Linked DNA regions of Saccharomyces cerevisiae S288C. The main gene of each other region encodes a partner of the protein of the gene in region 2 in a complex. Each region holds a gene or a part of one and is shown on either strand. Other genes may lie near its edges.

What was found. The genes of interacting proteins can lie anywhere in the genome.
Region 1: GPI15 (region 2) and ERI1 share a complex: the UniProt entries of both Saccharomyces cerevisiae proteins name them as parts of the phosphatidylinositol N-acetylglucosaminyltransferase (GPI-GlcNAc transferase) complex.
Region 3: GPI15 (region 2) and GPI1 share a complex: the UniProt entries of both Saccharomyces cerevisiae proteins name them as parts of the phosphatidylinositol N-acetylglucosaminyltransferase (GPI-GlcNAc transferase) complex.

What each region holds. Positions count from the first base shown.
Region 1 is NC_001148.4:364,506-369,937, reverse strand, and holds ERI1 (Eri1p), read left to right. Parts: upstream 1-3,202; coding exon 3,203-3,409; downstream 3,410-5,432. Other genes in the region: Sec63 complex subunit SEC62, read left to right, coding at 1-99; EEB1 (medium-chain fatty acid ethyl ester synthase/esterase), read left to right, coding at 497-1,867; PNG1 (peptide-N4-(N-acetyl-beta-glucosaminyl)asparagine amidase), read right to left, coding at 1,920-3,011; tyrosine--tRNA ligase MSY1, read right to left, coding at 3,508-4,986; MGR2 (Mgr2p), read left to right, coding at 5,211-5,432. UniProt on the Saccharomyces cerevisiae protein: Probable component of the GPI-GlcNAc transferase (GPI-GnT) complex in the endoplasmic reticulum, a complex that catalyzes transfer of GlcNAc from UDP-GlcNAc to an acceptor phosphatidylinositol, the first step in the production of GPI-anchors for cell surface proteins.
Region 2 is NC_001146.8:554,420-560,098, reverse strand, and holds GPI15 (phosphatidylinositol N-acetylglucosaminyltransferase GPI15), read right to left. Parts: upstream 3,080-5,679; coding exon 2,489-3,079; intron 2,415-2,488; coding exon 2,316-2,414; downstream 1-2,315. Other genes in the region: carbonate dehydratase NCE103, read right to left, coding at 1-285; isocitrate dehydrogenase (NAD(+)) IDH1, read left to right, coding at 1,097-2,179; transcription factor TFIIIB subunit BDP1, read right to left, coding at 3,267-5,051; YNL040W (putative alanine--tRNA ligase), read right to left, coding at 5,349-5,679. UniProt on the Saccharomyces cerevisiae protein: Part of the complex catalyzing the transfer of N-acetylglucosamine from UDP-N-acetylglucosamine to phosphatidylinositol, the first step of GPI biosynthesis.
Region 3 is NC_001139.9:920,610-927,672, forward strand, and holds GPI1 (phosphatidylinositol N-acetylglucosaminyltransferase), read right to left. Parts: upstream 3,854-7,063; coding exon 2,024-3,853; downstream 1-2,023. Other genes in the region: 40S ribosomal protein uS2 RPS0A, read left to right, coding at 1-55, 511-1,179; mitochondrial 37S ribosomal protein mS33 RSM27, read left to right, coding at 1,566-1,898; calcium channel protein CCH1, read left to right, coding at 4,087-7,063. UniProt on the Saccharomyces cerevisiae protein: Part of the complex catalyzing the transfer of N-acetylglucosamine from UDP-N-acetylglucosamine to phosphatidylinositol, the first step of GPI biosynthesis.

The DNA of each region.
Region 1 (5,432 bases), on a different chromosome or scaffold from region 2:
TATAGTTACAAAAAGAAACTGAAAAGAATGAAGAAGAAACAAGCCAAGAGAGAAAGCAATAAGAAGAAAGCCATCAATGAAAAAGCCGAACAAAACTGAACTTCCATTATCCTGTATAGCTCTACTGTATAAACCTTCTATATTGTAACCTCATGAACTCGCACATGTACAAACCTTCAAGAGAACCGGCACCAAAGCGCTACCATCTGGTTGCTTCATCGCTTATAGTGAGTAGTTTTAGATTTGAAGGTTATCGCTCCTGGCAAAAATCTGAATCCACACACCGCATAATTAGCGGTTATTATTACTCAATTTCCGGCCGGCTTTAATATACTTTCACCGAAAGGTCTCTATATAGAAGCTATTTGCTGACACTTGCTTACAGGAATCGATTATATAAGAAGGGTTCTGCATCTGGTTGCCTACTTAGTTTTCGGTATTTTTGAAGATTAGCAAAAAGATCAAGATATCAAGTATTTTCATATTTGTCATTTTAATGTTTCGCTCGGGTTACTATCCAACTGTCACTCCTAGCCATTGGGGCTATAACGGCACCGTCAAACATGTACTGGGAGAGAAAGGAACCAAGTCTTTGGCTTTCAGAGATTCTAAGCGCCAAATTCCTCTTCATGAATTCGTAACCAAACACGTGCCTACACTCAAAGATGGTGCAAATTTTAGGTTAAACAGCTTGCTTTTCACAGGTTACTTACAGACCCTTTATTTGTCAGCCGGTGATTTTTCCAAAAAATTTCAGGTATTTTATGGAAGAGAGATTATAAAATTTTCTGATGGAGGGGTCTGCACTGCAGATTGGGTTATGCCTGAATGGGAGCAAACATATTCATTAAATGCTGAAAAGGCTAGTTTTAACGAGAAACAATTTTCGAACGATGAAAAGGCCACCCATCCAAAGGGTTGGCCTCGTCTTCACCCGAGAACTAGATATCTATCCTCTGAGGAACTTGAAAAATGTCATTCTAAGGGTTATTCTTACCCTTTAGTGGTAGTACTTCATGGTCTTGCAGGGGGAAGCCATGAGCCTCTCATCAGGGCATTATCTGAAGATCTATCAAAAGTCGGTGACGGTAAATTCCAAGTGGTAGTCCTTAATGCTAGAGGTTGCTCAAGATCTAAAGTCACCACCCGTAGAATCTTTACCGCATTACACACAGGTGATGTGAGAGAATTTTTGAACCACCAAAAAGCTCTATTTCCGCAAAGAAAAATATATGCAGTCGGAACATCATTTGGAGCAGCCATGCTAACGAACTACTTAGGTGAAGAAGGAGATAACTGTCCATTAAATGCTGCAGTCGCTCTCTCAAACCCATGGGATTTCGTACACACTTGGGACAAGTTGGCTCATGATTGGTGGTCCAACCATATTTTTTCTAGAACTTTAACACAATTTCTAACAAGGACTGTCAAGGTTAATATGAATGAGTTGCAGGTACCAGAGAATTTTGAGGTTTCGCACAAACCGACAGTTGAGAAACCAGTCTTTTATACGTATACCAGAGAAAATTTGGAAAAGGCTGAAAAATTTACAGACATATTAGAATTCGATAATCTTTTCACTGCCCCATCGATGGGCCTGCCGGACGGGTTAACATATTATAGAAAGGCCAGTTCGATAAATAGATTGCCTAATATCAAAATCCCAACTTTAATAATCAACGCAACGGATGATCCAGTTACAGGTGAAAACGTAATTCCGTACAAACAAGCTAGAGAAAATCCTTGTGTGTTGTTATGCGAGACTGACTTGGGTGGACATTTGGCTTATCTCGACAATGAAAGTAATTCCTGGTTAACAAAGCAAGCTGCCGAGTTCTTGGGCAGCTTTGATGAGTTAGTTTTATAAATATGTTCTTAGATAAAATTCCTTACACATAATAATCTGTTCTTTTATTTCTCTATTTACCATCCTCCCCACGCTGTGCTTTCCAATCCGCCGATCCACTTTCTCTACCACGATTAGATGATTTCGAAGCGGCACTGACGCTTTCGGATTTCGTTTCTTGTGTCTTTCCTCTAATCAGCTCTATCTGTTCCTGCTCATCGCGACATGCAAGTTGGTATATCTCGTCATCATTTAACGAATACCTCAACCTCTTCGTTATAAATTGACAAAGGAATTTTAAATCTTCTTCCTTGATTTGATCTCTGGGCAGCTCGTTTTGGAGGATATAGCGTTTACTAACGTCAACAACGCCATCTTTACCGAACGCAATACAGTAACTCATTTTCTTGTTCCAGTTAATTGAATAGATATATGGTTGGTCGAATGATTGCTCACAGGAGTCGACATGAACCCACCTATTCAAAAAATTTGAAAAATATTCACACCAAACATGATCTTCTCTATTCCAGACGTAGCGAACATCTAACCCAAACGACTTCAAAATCAAAGTAAATAAATTGCACCATTCACCGCATCTTCCCTTTCTAGTTTCCAGCAACTTAATTGGATCGTTATAACGAGGAAATCTAGTGATATTTCCGCATCGGTTGCATTTATAGATCTCAACAGTTCCGCAATTGAATTTAGATTCCTCTCCATTGGGCCCTTGACTGCCCAGAGGTGTCATATTTTCTGAAGTGTTCTGGCCACAATGATTACAATCTGGTTTATTGCACCATTTGAAAAAATCTTGTTTGAAGTAGCGAAGCAGCTCCTTTACTAGATAATCCGTGTATATATTTTCCCCCTCTGCATGCCCATCTTTGGCAAATTCCTTATCAACATTTTTATATATTAGATCCAGATCCAATGTCTCCAGGACTATAGAATGCCATGAAGGATTGTCATAGACTGTACAGAGATGTTGACTCTGACCTAGGACTCCTTGTGCGAATTGATTTGTATGGACTAAATTCTGAAACCTTATATTCTCTACAGGTGCAGCTTTCTTGAATTTAGACAGTATGAAATCCTTATACTTAATTAACAACATTTTGGCTATTGAATCAAAATCTATGTTATTTTTTTCGTATACCTCTCCCATTGCTACTCCACCTGTTACCTTCTTCAGGTTGTTTTACGTCTTCTATATCTGTTCCCAACGCATCCTTTTTTCTTCGCTACAATACAAGGAAGATTACACTACGCAAAGTTTCGAAAACATCAAGAAGCATAGAACAGTTGAAACTAGGCAACAGGACTGTTTCAATTACATGATTGAGAATTTATAAGCGCATGAGACCACGTGACCAAGGCTTTTTGGTTTTAGGGTTTACTTACTCGGTACTCCTAATTAGTCTTGCTACATTTTACTGGTTACGCAACAATGACTCTTTCCTGCACTACTGGTGTGTATTACTGCTATGCCCTGCGACTCTCTGGCTGTGGGCCCTCATAGCCTGGTGTGACAGTGAAATGTTCGCAAGTAGTAAAGATGAATAATCGTTTATAATCTTATTTACAAGTCAGTGCATAAAATGATATAATATCACCTCACGCATGCCTATTTTATACATGTACTTTATATACCTCCCTTTTTTTTAACGCATTTCTATTATAAAACACTTCTGCTTTCCTATCCTCAAGATCAGTACTCGATCATCTATCAGGAAAGGAGCCAAGTTAGAAATATTTTCGTTTACTTTAGATTTTGAATGATGCAGATACACGCTTCCCTGGGAAAGTTTTCTTCTGGCTTCTGATACTGAACAATTTACTAGTTTACAAATTAACTTTATTAAGTCAATCTCTCTATCAGCATACTGCAAAATTCTGGCTTTTTTACATAGATCAACTAACTTCGCAGCAGATAAAGTTCCGTCATAACGTCCAAAAATAATATTAGAAAGCGCTTCTGAATCCGATCCGGAGCCAACTCCATATAACATATCTGTGACTTCTTTAGCCAATAAAGTTTGGCCATAACGTAGACTGGGTGATTTGATATGCGTTTCCACAATTTTTTTGATTTCACTTGAGTTTAAAAACGTAAAGATCTTCAAGAACTTGGGTACATCAGCATCCAAAGTATTATAAAAGAACTGGTAAACATCATACGCCGTATTGATTGAGGGGTCAATAAAAACAGCATTGCCTGCACTTTTCCCAAATTTCTCTCCTGTAGCCGTCGTCAACAAGGGCACAGTGATACCAAATGGCAAACCCTTATTCTTTATAGGCTGTATCCTATTGATGAGATCGATACCGGCTGTTATATTTCCCCATTGGTCGTTACCACCTACTTGTATAGTCACATTCTCTTCCTTATACAAATGGTAAAAATCGTACGCTTGTAAAACTTGGTAAGTAAATTCGTTAAATCCCAGACCATTTTTGGTTTGAAGCCTCGAAGAAATTGAATCCCTCGCCAACATAGATTGTACCCGAATGTGCCTACCAAAATCAGCTAAGAAATCCAACATTTTGATGTCTTTCCACCAGTTGAAATTATTCCTTGGTGTATATTTTCCGGAAGGTACATCTTCAGTGAGAGCACATCGGTTTCTGTAATATTCTAGGCCATTTTTGAAAAACCTTTGTAATTGCTGCGAGATGGATGCCACATTGCTTTGCCTAATATCGTTCTCCATAACGTCTCTTTCTGTTTTCCTACCACTTGGGTCCCCAACTTTCCCTGTAGCTCCACCTATCACAGTGACAATGTCGTGACCTTTTACGTAAAAGTGTAATAAAACCATTAGTGGAACTAGATTTCCCAAATGAAGTGACTGAGCTGTGGGATCCACCCCGCAGTATAATTTGATCTTATCGTTACCGTTCAACTTCGTCCGAAGGAAACTCTCTGGCTGTGAGACCTGGGACACTAGACCCCTTTGTTTGAGTTCGTCTAAAATATTATCGCTTCGAGAATCCGATGTGCCCTGTACTTCTAAAGCACTAGGCTGTGAATAAAATCGAGATTTAGGCAATGTTATTGCACTTAGTCCGGAATAAGTCACCAGAGGCACAAGTCTCCTACTACTATTGACCAAATTACTACAACTTCGTAATTCGAGCATGATTCACAATGTCTACCTGTAGATTGCTGTGTTCAATCGGAAACTGGAAATTCTTTCTTAACATTATGAGCCAACCACTTTTTATTTTCTTTTCAAAACTCCCGAACAAGACCAACATTACCAAACAGACTCCACTACTTTTCCATAAGAAGGAAGCACAGAACACCACACAAGATCATATAGCACAAATAGCGCAACAGCTTCAAGTCCAATATTAAGATATAATGCCTCCTCTTCCACAAAATTATGCGCAACAGCAGCCTTCGAATTGGGACAAATTCAAAATGGGGTTGATGATGGGTACTACCGTCGGTGTCTGCACAGGCATCCTATTTGGTGGATTTGCCATCGCAACTCAAGGCCCAGGTCCTGATGGTGTAGTTAGAACACTAGGGAAATACATTGCTGGTTCAGCGGGTACCTTTGGGCTATTTATGTCCATCGGG
Region 2 (5,679 bases):
TAAAGTGGCCTTCAAAGTTAAATCCTCTGAGTGACATATGTTAGCAACATTTTTCCAAGTGAACACTTCGCCGGGCAAGACACCTAAACAGTTTTCGTTGTAACGCGAATCGGAGCAGCCGATGAAAAGAGTGTGAGGGGACTGGCCCTTCGCATTGTGATCTGGGAACAAAGTTGGCTGTATGTTGTTCATCTGGGAGGCCCATTTGGCATTGGCGGCCAAGATATCTTGTAGGTTTGAGTTGTGACTCAATGTGAATATAGATGAAGATTCGGTAGCGCTCATTCTGATGTGTAATAATTGAAATTTGTAGTCTTAGCTGTAGTTGATGTGGTTGGGGTTTTCAGAAGAAAACGAACAAGAATTAGAAGAGGACAGCTCTTACCTATCCTCGAGAATCATTACTTCCTAAGTATTTATAGTACTCTATGTCAGCCTACTTGTTCATTTCAAAATTACTCATCGAGAGAGGGGGAGGAAGGAATCACTAGTAATTTTTTCGGCTTGATAAGCGTCATGGTGACAATGCGAATTAATTCAGTGGCGTCAAGTTAGCTCATTCTGACGTCAACATCGAAACGGGAACGAACGTTCGTGCGGGGTGATGGTTAGAAAGCACGTGACTTACGTTACTATCACGTGATAACAATCACACTGTACGGCTGATCAAATTTTTTTCGGCGCCGAGTTTAGGTGAATCACGTGTGCCTGACCACCTTCTCCGAGCATCGGGCGTCATAGGTCACTCATCAACCAACCATATTGCAGAAACCTTCTTTTATTTTTTTTGGTAGCTCGGTATTGTTATTTAGCGATTAAAGGAAGACCCTCATATATATATCCCCGTACAATACATGCCTACACTGAATATATATATAAGTGTTTTATGTGGGTGAGCACATAGGACTATCTATATTTTCCATAGGTCTTTTTTCTTGTTTTCTTCCGCTTCATTGGCTTATTCTTGATTGATTGATTTCTTTACTCTACCGTAGATCTATTTCAACAGTACCTTAATATTACTGGTAACAATCAAGGTTCATTATTCTCCCTATCCTCATTCTTCTCCCTTTTCCTCCATAATTGTAAGAGAAAAATGCTTAACAGAACAATTGCTAAGAGAACTTTAGCCACTGCCGCTCAGGCGGAACGCACCCTACCCAAGAAGTATGGCGGTCGTTTCACCGTCACTTTGATACCTGGTGACGGTGTTGGGAAAGAAATCACTGATTCAGTGAGAACCATTTTTGAGGCTGAAAATATCCCGATCGACTGGGAAACTATAAACATTAAGCAAACAGATCATAAGGAAGGCGTCTATGAAGCTGTTGAGTCTCTAAAGAGAAATAAGATTGGTCTTAAGGGGCTATGGCACACTCCTGCTGACCAAACAGGTCACGGTTCACTAAACGTTGCTTTGCGTAAACAACTAGATATCTACGCCAATGTGGCCCTTTTCAAATCCTTGAAGGGTGTCAAGACTAGAATTCCAGACATAGATTTGATTGTCATTAGAGAAAACACGGAGGGTGAGTTCTCAGGCCTGGAACATGAATCCGTCCCTGGTGTAGTGGAATCTTTGAAAGTTATGACTAGACCTAAGACAGAAAGGATCGCCAGATTTGCCTTTGACTTCGCCAAGAAATACAACAGAAAGTCTGTCACAGCTGTGCATAAGGCAAATATCATGAAGTTAGGTGACGGTCTGTTCAGAAATATAATAACTGAAATTGGCCAAAAAGAATATCCTGATATTGACGTATCGTCCATCATTGTCGACAATGCCTCCATGCAGGCGGTGGCCAAACCTCATCAATTTGATGTCCTAGTTACCCCTTCAATGTACGGTACCATCTTAGGCAACATTGGCGCTGCTTTGATCGGTGGTCCAGGATTGGTGGCAGGTGCCAACTTTGGCAGGGACTATGCTGTCTTCGAACCAGGTTCCAGACATGTTGGTTTAGATATTAAAGGCCAAAATGTGGCTAACCCAACTGCCATGATCCTTTCCTCCACGTTAATGTTGAACCATTTGGGTTTGAATGAATATGCTACTAGAATCTCAAAGGCAGTTCATGAAACGATCGCAGAAGGTAAGCATACCACTAGAGATATTGGTGGTTCCTCTTCTACTACTGACTTCACGAATGAAATCATCAACAAATTATCTACCATGTAATGAAAACAATTCCCCTTTTTTTTGTTCTGCAACTTAAGTGTGTTCAAATTCTTATCTATAATTATATATAAACATACACTAAAATATAAGTATATACCAAAATGTCTCAAGATTTTCTGTAATGATAATTTGATGTTCAATCTTTTGGTCTGCTCAGGGGTTTTTCTTGCTTACTGAGATATTTTCTAGATATGTTGTATATTAGACGTTGGTCATCGATACTGGGCAAATTTGACTGCATTGTTGTGTTAGTATTTCTAATCAGATCGTTGAAGTAAGAAACAATCTTAAATTCGCTTGAATACATACTGGAAATAATAGCTTAAGCGTAGACGATTTACGTACAATTGCTGCAAGATAGAATATCACTCGAAATCCCCGACAGAATCCTTCATTGATCACTACATCAATAATTCTTTCATTGGATATAAACTCTACTTGTTCAAAGAACTTCCGATTCCATTGTTGAGGAAATATAACCATACCCTTCACTCTGGACAGCTGTAGTCCACTTTCTTTGAAAATTGTTACAGTTTCCACACTAGGTCCCCTCACAAGTATAATTGTACCTAAGGCAAACAATCCCATTATAATTAAGATCTGGAAACTTCGCGCGATTGTCACTTCAAAAGTTCTATTAATATGTTCGAGAAATCTTGATCTTAGGCAAATTACATAGAACAAAATATTCAGTAGTAAAATAAGTACAATTTGGTGATATTGTATGCCCATGTTAATCTCTACCCTCCCATTTTGCTTGACTTTTTTGAACTTTCGGTTAGATACAGGTAAAACGGTAAATCTTATAAAATTGCCATTCTTGTCTTCATCGATAACTAATGTATACTTCTTTCTATTCAGTATACTAGTCTTACCAAATTCATACTCTTTACTAATCATATCATCCTTTTGTTTCTTTTGCTTATAGAACGATCCTCATATGTAACTTTCATAATACTGTTTTCGTTGCCAATTTTTTCTTCCGAACATCGCTTCATTTATTGATGCCGCGGTACACCTGAAGAAAATGATATAATACAACAAAAAGTTGTGCTATTTATCCATTATGTATGCATATAAATGTCTCTTATTGATCAATCTCAGGCTCTTCTTCACTTCCTTCATTATCCTCATTGTCATCATTATTCCTTTCTTTGAGTTTCTTCCTTTTCAAGTCATCAATTGTACCCAGAACAACTTCCGTTTTTCTATAAACTTTCAAATCATTTGTCATAATACCACCAGATCCCTTTTTATTCAAATTAGCATCATTTAGCCTTTGTGCAGTTTGGTCTTCCTCCTTTGCCGTATTCTTTGCTTCTTCGATTTCCTTCATATGATGTTTGTGCTCGTTTTGTAATTCGATTAGTTTCTCGTTGAAGTCTGCTACTGTACCAATGTTCTTCTTGATTTCGCAGCAATACTCATCAAAATTAGGCGGTAGCTTAGATCGAAGGGCCAATTCAATCAATATTGGACGTTTCTTCTCCTCATTAACGAATTTGGCCTTCACTTGTTTTCTTGATCTATAAGGGTATAATTGTGAGATCAAATTGAAATCTGTCCCCCACATAGAAAGCGCCTTGTAGAACTTTATCATTTCTTCCACAGTCCACGGGTCTGTGTATGAACCCCTACCATACGACCCGTAATTATAAAGATTGGCAAAAGGGTTTTCATCAACTTTTTCTTTATATTCATTTTCGATACTAGCATTTTTGTGTCTGTCAACAACCATAGTCTCTTCATCAATTGCCATAGTACCATCAGGGTTAAGCTTCAGTTGGATCGCCGTATGTGCTTTGCGGTCTGACTCAGGAATGTCAGCGTTGAGTAGTTTATCTCTTTCTTCCTTTCTCTTCTCCTCTTCTTCTTCCTGTTCTTCTTTAGTCAATGAGTGTAGTGGTTTAAATTCTTGTCGTGCGCGCATTCTGAGTTCTCTAAGATGCCTTCTCTTTTCCAATTTTGCCTTTTTTGCCATTTTAGATTTTTCAAAGTTTTCAGATATTTGACCAATAGGAAAGTTTGGCTTACACAACTCTGCCATCGTAAAATTCTCTTCATCGATAAAATATTTAGCAGACTCCCCATCTCTCACTTTTTTCGGGATATCTTTGACTTTGCTAATCACATAATTTTCATTCTCATCAGCTTCTCTTGATGTAGAAGTTTCTGACGAAAATTCATTCCTGTCCAAAGAATCGGTCATTGCCGTAGGTGGAGAAATTTTGGAGACAATACTGATTCTGTGTGCACCTGCTGGTTTCTTAGCCGAAGAAGGTTTGCCCAAAACCCTATGTCTTTTGAAAGTTTTCAGATTCATATCGTTTTCTGTAATGCTTCCAAGCCTTATCTTTTTAGGAAGCTTATTGGAGATTGTAGATAAACGTCGCGCAGTCCCATTACTGTTACTGGAAGAATCGAGAAATGACGGTTTAAAACTTGGACGACTTTCGTTGTCCTTACTCAGTGAAGCTAATCTGCTGGATCTCGGTACCTTCTGGTCTCGGTGGGTTTGCAAGGGTGCCGGTTTTAGAGTCACATTATCTTCTATAACGTCTGCTTTGGGGTTCTGGGTCGAGGCGTCAATGGGGCCCTCATCACCTATTTCATTATCATGTCCATTAGTGCCGGTTAAGGTAAAGCCTTCTAAAGAGCGTTCTCCAACTAGCGAAGGTTTCTCAACAATAGCCGTTTCATTTTCATCAACACCTTTATCGTTATCACTATTATCTTCTTCTATTTCTTTACTTTCGGGAATGAAAAGTTGAGGGGTTCTTGGCTTTGGAGTTGGTGTTCCTCCAGTGGCGGCTCTACGCTGCCTTACTTTAGGGGCAAAGCGTGTACCACTTTTATTAACAATACTACTCATAAATACCTGGTAATCAGTGGCTCCTTGCCGGTTGTTTGTATTTCTTTAATAGGTTAGAAGTCAAAGTTATAATTTCCTTCGCTTTGCGTTTGCATGTTCGAAGTTGTTTTTTTTTAATTTTTTTTTTTGGGTATAATAAGTAATGGAAAACGCGTCTTCTGGGAACATTAAAGTTGCCTATTATAAACTACATAAAAGAAAAGAATAGACCATGCTTATTGACTTCCTGAGACTTGATCACGATAAATACCTACCATTATGTATACAACAAATCTGCGTATACAAATGGCACATTTCTCAACATGATGCGAAATCATGGCTTAAATAATCAGAGAGGGCGGCAAACTCGGCATTCGAAATGGATGTAATTTTACCTTGCCACTTGCCACCTTTCTTACCACCACCGCCTTTTAGGTTTTGTAGTATCGAACCTAAGTTAGCAGCCAAATTGGCAATTTTTTCACCCGATTCCGAAAGAATTAGCAGTGAGCCAGTGTTCGTTTGTCTTTCATAACCGCATAGGATAATTTCGTAACCTTCTGTATCATCTTTCAAAAAATTAGATACTTCCTTGTGGATCTGTAGCAACAGTTCCAATGTTCCGTATTCTTCTTCCATAAAATAAGCC
Region 3 (7,063 bases), on a different chromosome or scaffold from region 2:
AGATGCCCAACTTTTGTTGGCTGCTAACACTCACTTAGGTGCTAGAAACGTTCAAGTATGTTATACTCATTCCCGATTATATAATAGAGTAATGTGTGATTGAAAACAGTTCGAGTGAAAGAATAGCCACAACCAGGTTTCCCGCCAACCAAACGGAATGCTGGGATAGCATTTTTCAGGCTGAATAAGAAGAGAAATATATGAACAATCATTAAAACAGTTTGAAACTCCAGCTAATTATCAGCGAATATTTTGCCAATAGACTTTCTAATTGTATTATGTTATTAAATTTTAAATCGCTAATGAAAAAAAAAAACAAACCTTTGGTATTAAACCTCTTTCAATGAAATCAATTAATTCCGGTACCTATTCTTCCGACGCTGTTAGCCAACTATAAATGCCATTTTTTCATAGTACATTAATTTGAATCAGTTGATCATTCACAGCATATACCAAGTGTACGTTTTTGAATCTTTTATACTAACTTTTTCTTCTTTAATTTTGTTTCAGGTTCACCAAGAACCATATGTTTTCAACGCAAGACCAGATGGTGTCCACGTTATCAACGTTGGTAAGACCTGGGAAAAATTGGTTTTGGCTGCCAGAATCATCGCTGCCATTCCAAACCCAGAAGACGTTGTTGCCATCTCTTCCAGAACTTTCGGTCAAAGGGCTGTTTTGAAGTTCGCTGCCCACACCGGTGCTACCCCAATCGCCGGTAGATTCACTCCAGGTTCTTTCACCAATTATATCACCCGTTCTTTCAAGGAACCAAGATTAGTTATTGTCACCGACCCAAGATCAGATGCTCAAGCCATCAAGGAAGCTTCTTACGTTAACATCCCTGTCATTGCTCTAACTGATCTTGACTCTCCATCAGAATTCGTCGATGTCGCTATCCCATGTAACAACAGAGGTAAGCACTCCATTGGTTTAATCTGGTACTTATTGGCTAGAGAAGTTTTGAGACTAAGAGGTGCTTTAGTTGACAGAACTCAACCATGGTCCATCATGCCAGATTTGTACTTCTACAGAGACCCTGAAGAAGTTGAACAACAAGTTGCTGAAGAAGCTACCACCGAAGAAGCTGGTGAAGAAGAAGCCAAGGAAGAGGTTACCGAAGAGCAAGCTGAAGCTACTGAATGGGCTGAAGAAAATGCTGACAACGTCGAGTGGTAAGTAAGGTGATATTTACAAATAGTATATTAATAATTATAGTATAATGTTTTATTAGAATAACAGATTTCTTTATCAATTTAGCGGCTAAATAAAAATCAAGAAAAAAGAAATACATTCATTGTGTCATCTTGTCACACATTTAGCCATGTACTTTATTTGCTGAGAAGTTTAATCAATTGAGAGTAGTTAGCTATTGTAGTAAAAATGTGCAAATGAAGTCTTATCAACACGTAGCGTATATAGTGATCTAAAACAGTTAGAAATATAATAAGCGAACTTCTAAACCATTTTAGAGCACATAGCCATGGAGAATAGGTACTTGTTTTGACCCGCTCGACGAAGTGGTACGTAGTGATTGCGTGGATTAGTTTATCATAAGACTTTCAATGAACGTACCAAAGGCGAGACTCCTAAAAGTAGCAGAGTTATCTGCGAAGATATTTGATCAAAATTTCAACCCATCAGGTATAAGAACCGGTTCTAAGATTCTAAATGAGCGATTAAAGGGCCCTTCTGTGGCAAGCTACTACGGCAATCCGGATATCCTGAAGTTCAGACATTTGAAAACATTATATCCTGATATTGAATTTGTAGACCTTGAGGAGCAATATCGATTATCTATGGTAGAAGCAAAGAAACGTCGTGGTAAAGGTGCTCCTAAGAAGATGAAGAAGGATGCAGCTGCAACTGCAAAGGGGAAGGGGAAGAAAAAAAAATGATTGGAGCACCCTTACTAAAAAAAATATTCATTATGTAGAAACTCATTTCATGTACATACAAAATCAAAAATAAAACAACAAATAGCTGAAGCAAGAAAACGCTACTTTACTTATAAAAGAAAACGTTATGCCTGAATAGTCAGCCTTTTGTATAAATCCTTTACACTCAATGGCTTACTAGGCAGTGAAGAATAAAGAACATAGTACAGCTTATTTCTATTGACCATTATAGACTCCCCTCGGACAATCTTTCGTACAGTAGCAAACGAGAAATAATTTGTCCTCATTTGCGACAACAATAGATTGTATGGTCTGAACATACTCTTGAATTTAATAGGATTGTTTTGAAGTTCTAAGGTTGTATGCTTGTTAGAAACCGTGGTTTTGAGCTCAATTGAAATGCCACCGGGTAGACGTTTAGGATCTTTTAACCTAAGTAATAATGCGAACAATGGAAAATGGTTAATGAGTGCAATGACAGCTTCCGAGAATATTTCGATAGTTATTGTTAGCATTCTCAAAACTGTGTATGACATATAGAATGCCATCACTGTGGGAGTCAAGAACACTAGAATAATAAATAATAATGTTCCCAATAGCAATTGATCTAGTTGAAAATAGTTATGGTCAATCCTATTTCGTAAAACGTTCCTCTTTTTACCGCAGAACAGGTTAAAAAGACTAGCCATAATATTCAACTGACAATGGTACAGTTTACTGCTGATACGATAAAAAACATATATTGGAAAACTTAAAATTGCAAAAAAATCAATCGCTAGGGAAACAGCAAAAGAAAAGCCAACGAGAAACATCATATATATCGTTAACGTGAGCAAAGATGATAGGGTTTTCGGATCAATGAGTCTTTTTATGAATGTGGTATAAGAAAATTCTATCACCCAAAGAAATAATTCGCTCAAAAAGTTCGCAAGTTCTGCATTTAATTTGATGCCAAGGGGGTTATTTGCTAACGTTTCAGTTATTGTTTTTAATGAATCATATAAAAAAAACTTCAATACTCTATGGGATGCCGACACCAAGAAATCTCGATTCTCAATAAGTATGGCCCCCAATATTAAACCAAATGAAATGTCATTAATAATAAGCCAAATTGTATTATACAATAAAATATAATCGGGATAGAATTTAGAAGGCATATATGAATGTGAGAATTGACTATTAGAATTATCTTTTTCCACCATAGAGCCAACATTCTGTATGTTATCCTTCTTATTAATACGCTCATACTGTACTGGGAAATAGCAAATTTGTTGACAACGAAGATCGATTTGCTGGACAAATGCCGAGTAATTTACCAACTGAAAGTGCGAATAATTTAATAACGAGGATACGAGACTAGCAATAGAGCAGATCACAAAAGTCAAATAAAAACCAATTTTTGCGACCATTTTATAAATACAAGTAGATGAACACCAAGCTGCGACACTATTAAGCATAGTACCCCTCAAATTTTCCTGTGATGTTTGAATAAACGGGTAAAGCTCATTTAATGCTTTACAATATGCGGGGAATAGATTAATGATGTTCAAAGTTTCACTCAATTTCTTATTATCTCTCTTGTATCTTGGATGTTGCTCTAATTTAGAATAGTTCAGAGTTTCACCCACACTACTATGAAGACCAACTTCTTTTTCTGGTATGATGAGCGAGATGGGATCAGAAGAATAGAATTGCATAAATTTCAGCTTGGGTATTCTAAAATGGACATTACAGGGATCAGCAACTTTGTAGTTCCAACCCTCCGCTCCATTGTTCTTAGTAGCTACCACTGAATAAGGGGGCCGTATGCTTACTTCTTCTAAATACTGAGGTTCGCAAACACCTAAGACAACAAAATGCGTCTTCTCAAATGAAATTGCCAAAGCTACCTGAGGTCCTTGAGCTGCGGAATTCTCGAACAAGGATTCGTATGGCCAGAAAATGTAATTTGGCATGTCATTTAACTGTATAAAACCGCCCCTGAATTCGAAGGTTCCTGTTCACAGAGGAATTTTCATTCTTTTTGGTATTATGTTCTGGTAGGTTTTTTTCATATTCTACATTTCGGCATTCTCACTGAAAATAAATATAGATGAGATAGAAGATCATGAATCAATGGTTGGTGACAAGCTAACATAAGGAAAATCAAAATACACGGCATTACTAAATAGAATATATTGTTAGTACTATGCAGGGGAGAAAAAGGACGCTTACGGAACCATTTGAGCCAAATACCAATCCATTTGGGGACAATGCAGCAGTAATGACGGAAAATGTTGAGGATAACAGCGAAACAGATGGTAACCGTCTAGAATCAAAACCACAAGCTTTGGTCCCACCAGCTTTAAATATCGTGCCACCAGAGAGCAGCATCCACAGTACTGAAGAAAAAAAAGGTGACGAGTACAATGGAAATGATAAAGATAGCTCCTTAATCTCCAACATATTTCGTACTCGTGTCGGAAGGAGTAGTCATGAAAACTTGAGCAGGCCTAAACTCTCACTTAAAACAGCATCATTTGGTGCCGCTGAATCTTCCCGGCGTAATGTTTCACCCTCTACAAAATCTGCCAAGTCTAGTTCGCAGTATATTGATTTAAATGATGAAAGGCTACGCAGGCGTAGCTTCAGTAGTTATAGCCGATCATCTAGTAGGCGTGTTTCTAATTCACCAAGCTCAACGGATAGGCCTCCACGGTCGGCAAAGGTTTTATCGCTAATTGCCGCTGATGATATGGATGATTTTGAAGATTTGCAAAAGGGATTTAAAAGTGCAATAGACGAAGAGGGCCTGACATGGCTACCCCAATTAAAATCAGAAAAAAGCCGTCCTGTATCAGACGTTGGAGAAGATAGAGGAGAAGGAGAACAAGAATCTATACCTGACGTTCATACACCCAATGTAGGAGCAAGCGCTACTCCAGGATCAATTCATCTAACACCCGAACCCGCGCAGAATGGTTCGGTATCTGAGGGTCTAGAAGGCTCTATTAATAATTCAAGAAAGAAACCCAGTCCAAAGTTTTTTCATCATTTATCACCGCAAAAAGAAGATAAAGACCAAACAGAAGTTATTGAGTATGCTGAAGACATTCTAGATTTTGAAACCCTTCAAAGAAAACTGGAATCAAGGCCCTTTGTGCTTTATGGACATTCTCTTGGGGTTTTCTCGCCTACGAATCCGCTAAGAATAAAAATTGCTCGTTTTTTGTTGCATAGGCGGTATTCGTTACTTTACAACACTTTGTTAACATTTTATGCCATTCTCCTGGCGATAAGGACATATAACCCTCACAATGTGGTTTTTTTATACCGTTTCTCTAACTGGACCGACTATTTCATTTTTATTTTATCAGCTTGCTTTACAGGCAATGATATTGCTAAAATAATTGCGTTTGGATTTTGGGACGATTCTGAAATGTTTAAAGCCTATGGACGTGAGTATAAATCAATCTTACAGAGATCTGGAATTATGAAACTATACATATATCTGAGAGAAAAGTATGGTAGAAAGCTAATAGATTTCATTATTCCATTTAGGATCATATCGCCGGGAGAAGAGACAAAATATCAACGAAGTTCGTTGAGTACTTCCCTGACGAAACCTTATGGGGCAAAGGAAAATCAGAGGCCTTTTGGCACCCCAAGAGCCTTTGCGAGATCATCGTGGAATAGAATAGATCTGGTATCTTCTGTCAGTTTTTGGCTAGGTATGTTTTTATCCATAAAAAGTTATGATACAAAAACAGGCATAAGAATATTCAAGCCCCTTGCTATATTAAGGATTCTTCGACTTGTAAACGTGGATACTGGTATGCCCTCAATTCTAAGGGGATTGAAATATGGTATCCCACAGTTGGTAAATGTTAGTTCAATGCTAGTTTACTTTTGGATTTTCTTTGGGATTTTGGGAGTACAGATTTTTCAGGGCTCTTTTCGAAGACAATGTGTATGGTTTAACCCTGAAGATCCTACCGATACTTACCAGTACGATATGCAATTCTGTGGTGGTTACCTAGATCCAGTAACAAAACGAAAACAAAATTATATCTATGAAGACGGATCAGAAGGTTCTGTTTCAAAAGGCTTTCTTTGCCCACAATATTCGAAATGTGTTTCCAATGCCAACCCCTACAACGGCAGAATTAGTTTTGATAATATTGTTAATTCCATGGAGCTCGTTTTTGTCATTATGAGTGCGAATACTTTTACTGACTTAATGTACTATACGATGGATTCGGATGAAATGGCTGCCTGTTTGTTTTTTATTGTTTGCATCTTTGTTTTAACTATCTGGCTGCTAAATCTACTCATTGCAGTGTTGGTATCATCTTTTGAAATAGCCAATGAGGAGTACAAAAAGAAAAAGTTCATATATGGTTCTAGAAAGACAGGTTATGTTGCTCGCATAGTAACAGGCTACTGGAAATATTTTAAGCTTAAGGCGAATCAGACAAAATTCCCAAATTGGTCCCAAAAAGGACTAGCTATTTATTCCCACGTTGAGTTTATCTTTGTCATACTTATTATTTGCGATATAGGTATGCGCGCCTCTGTTAAAGTATCGACTTCGGCAAACTGTAACAATATCCTTCTAAAAACTGACAGGGGAATTTCGATTGTTCTCTTCATCGAATCACTGGCAAGGTTAGTATTATATCTGCCCAATATGTGGAAGTTTTTAACAAAACCTAGTTACGTTTACGATTTTATTATATCAATTATTACTCTGGTTATTAGTTGCCTGGCTGTTGAAGGGGTTCTAGGACATATGTATGCCTGGCTATCCATATTCCACATATCCAGATTTTACAGGGTGATTATTTCTTTCAATTTAACAAAAAAACTATGGAAACAAATATTGAGTAATGGTGTTATGATTTGGAACTTATCGTCTTTTTACTTTTTTTTCACCTTTTTGGTTGCTATAATCATGGCTGTGTATTTCGAAGGCGTGATTCCTCCAGAAGAAATGGCAGACCAGCCATTTGGAATGTATTCACTACCGAATTCATTTCTTTCTTTGTTTATAATAGGTTCAACTGAAAATTGGACGGATATCCTATATGCCCTCCAAAAACACTCACCAAACATCTCCTCAACTTTTTTTTGCTCAGTATTTTTTATTATATGGTTTCTACTATCCAACTCAGTGATCTTGAACA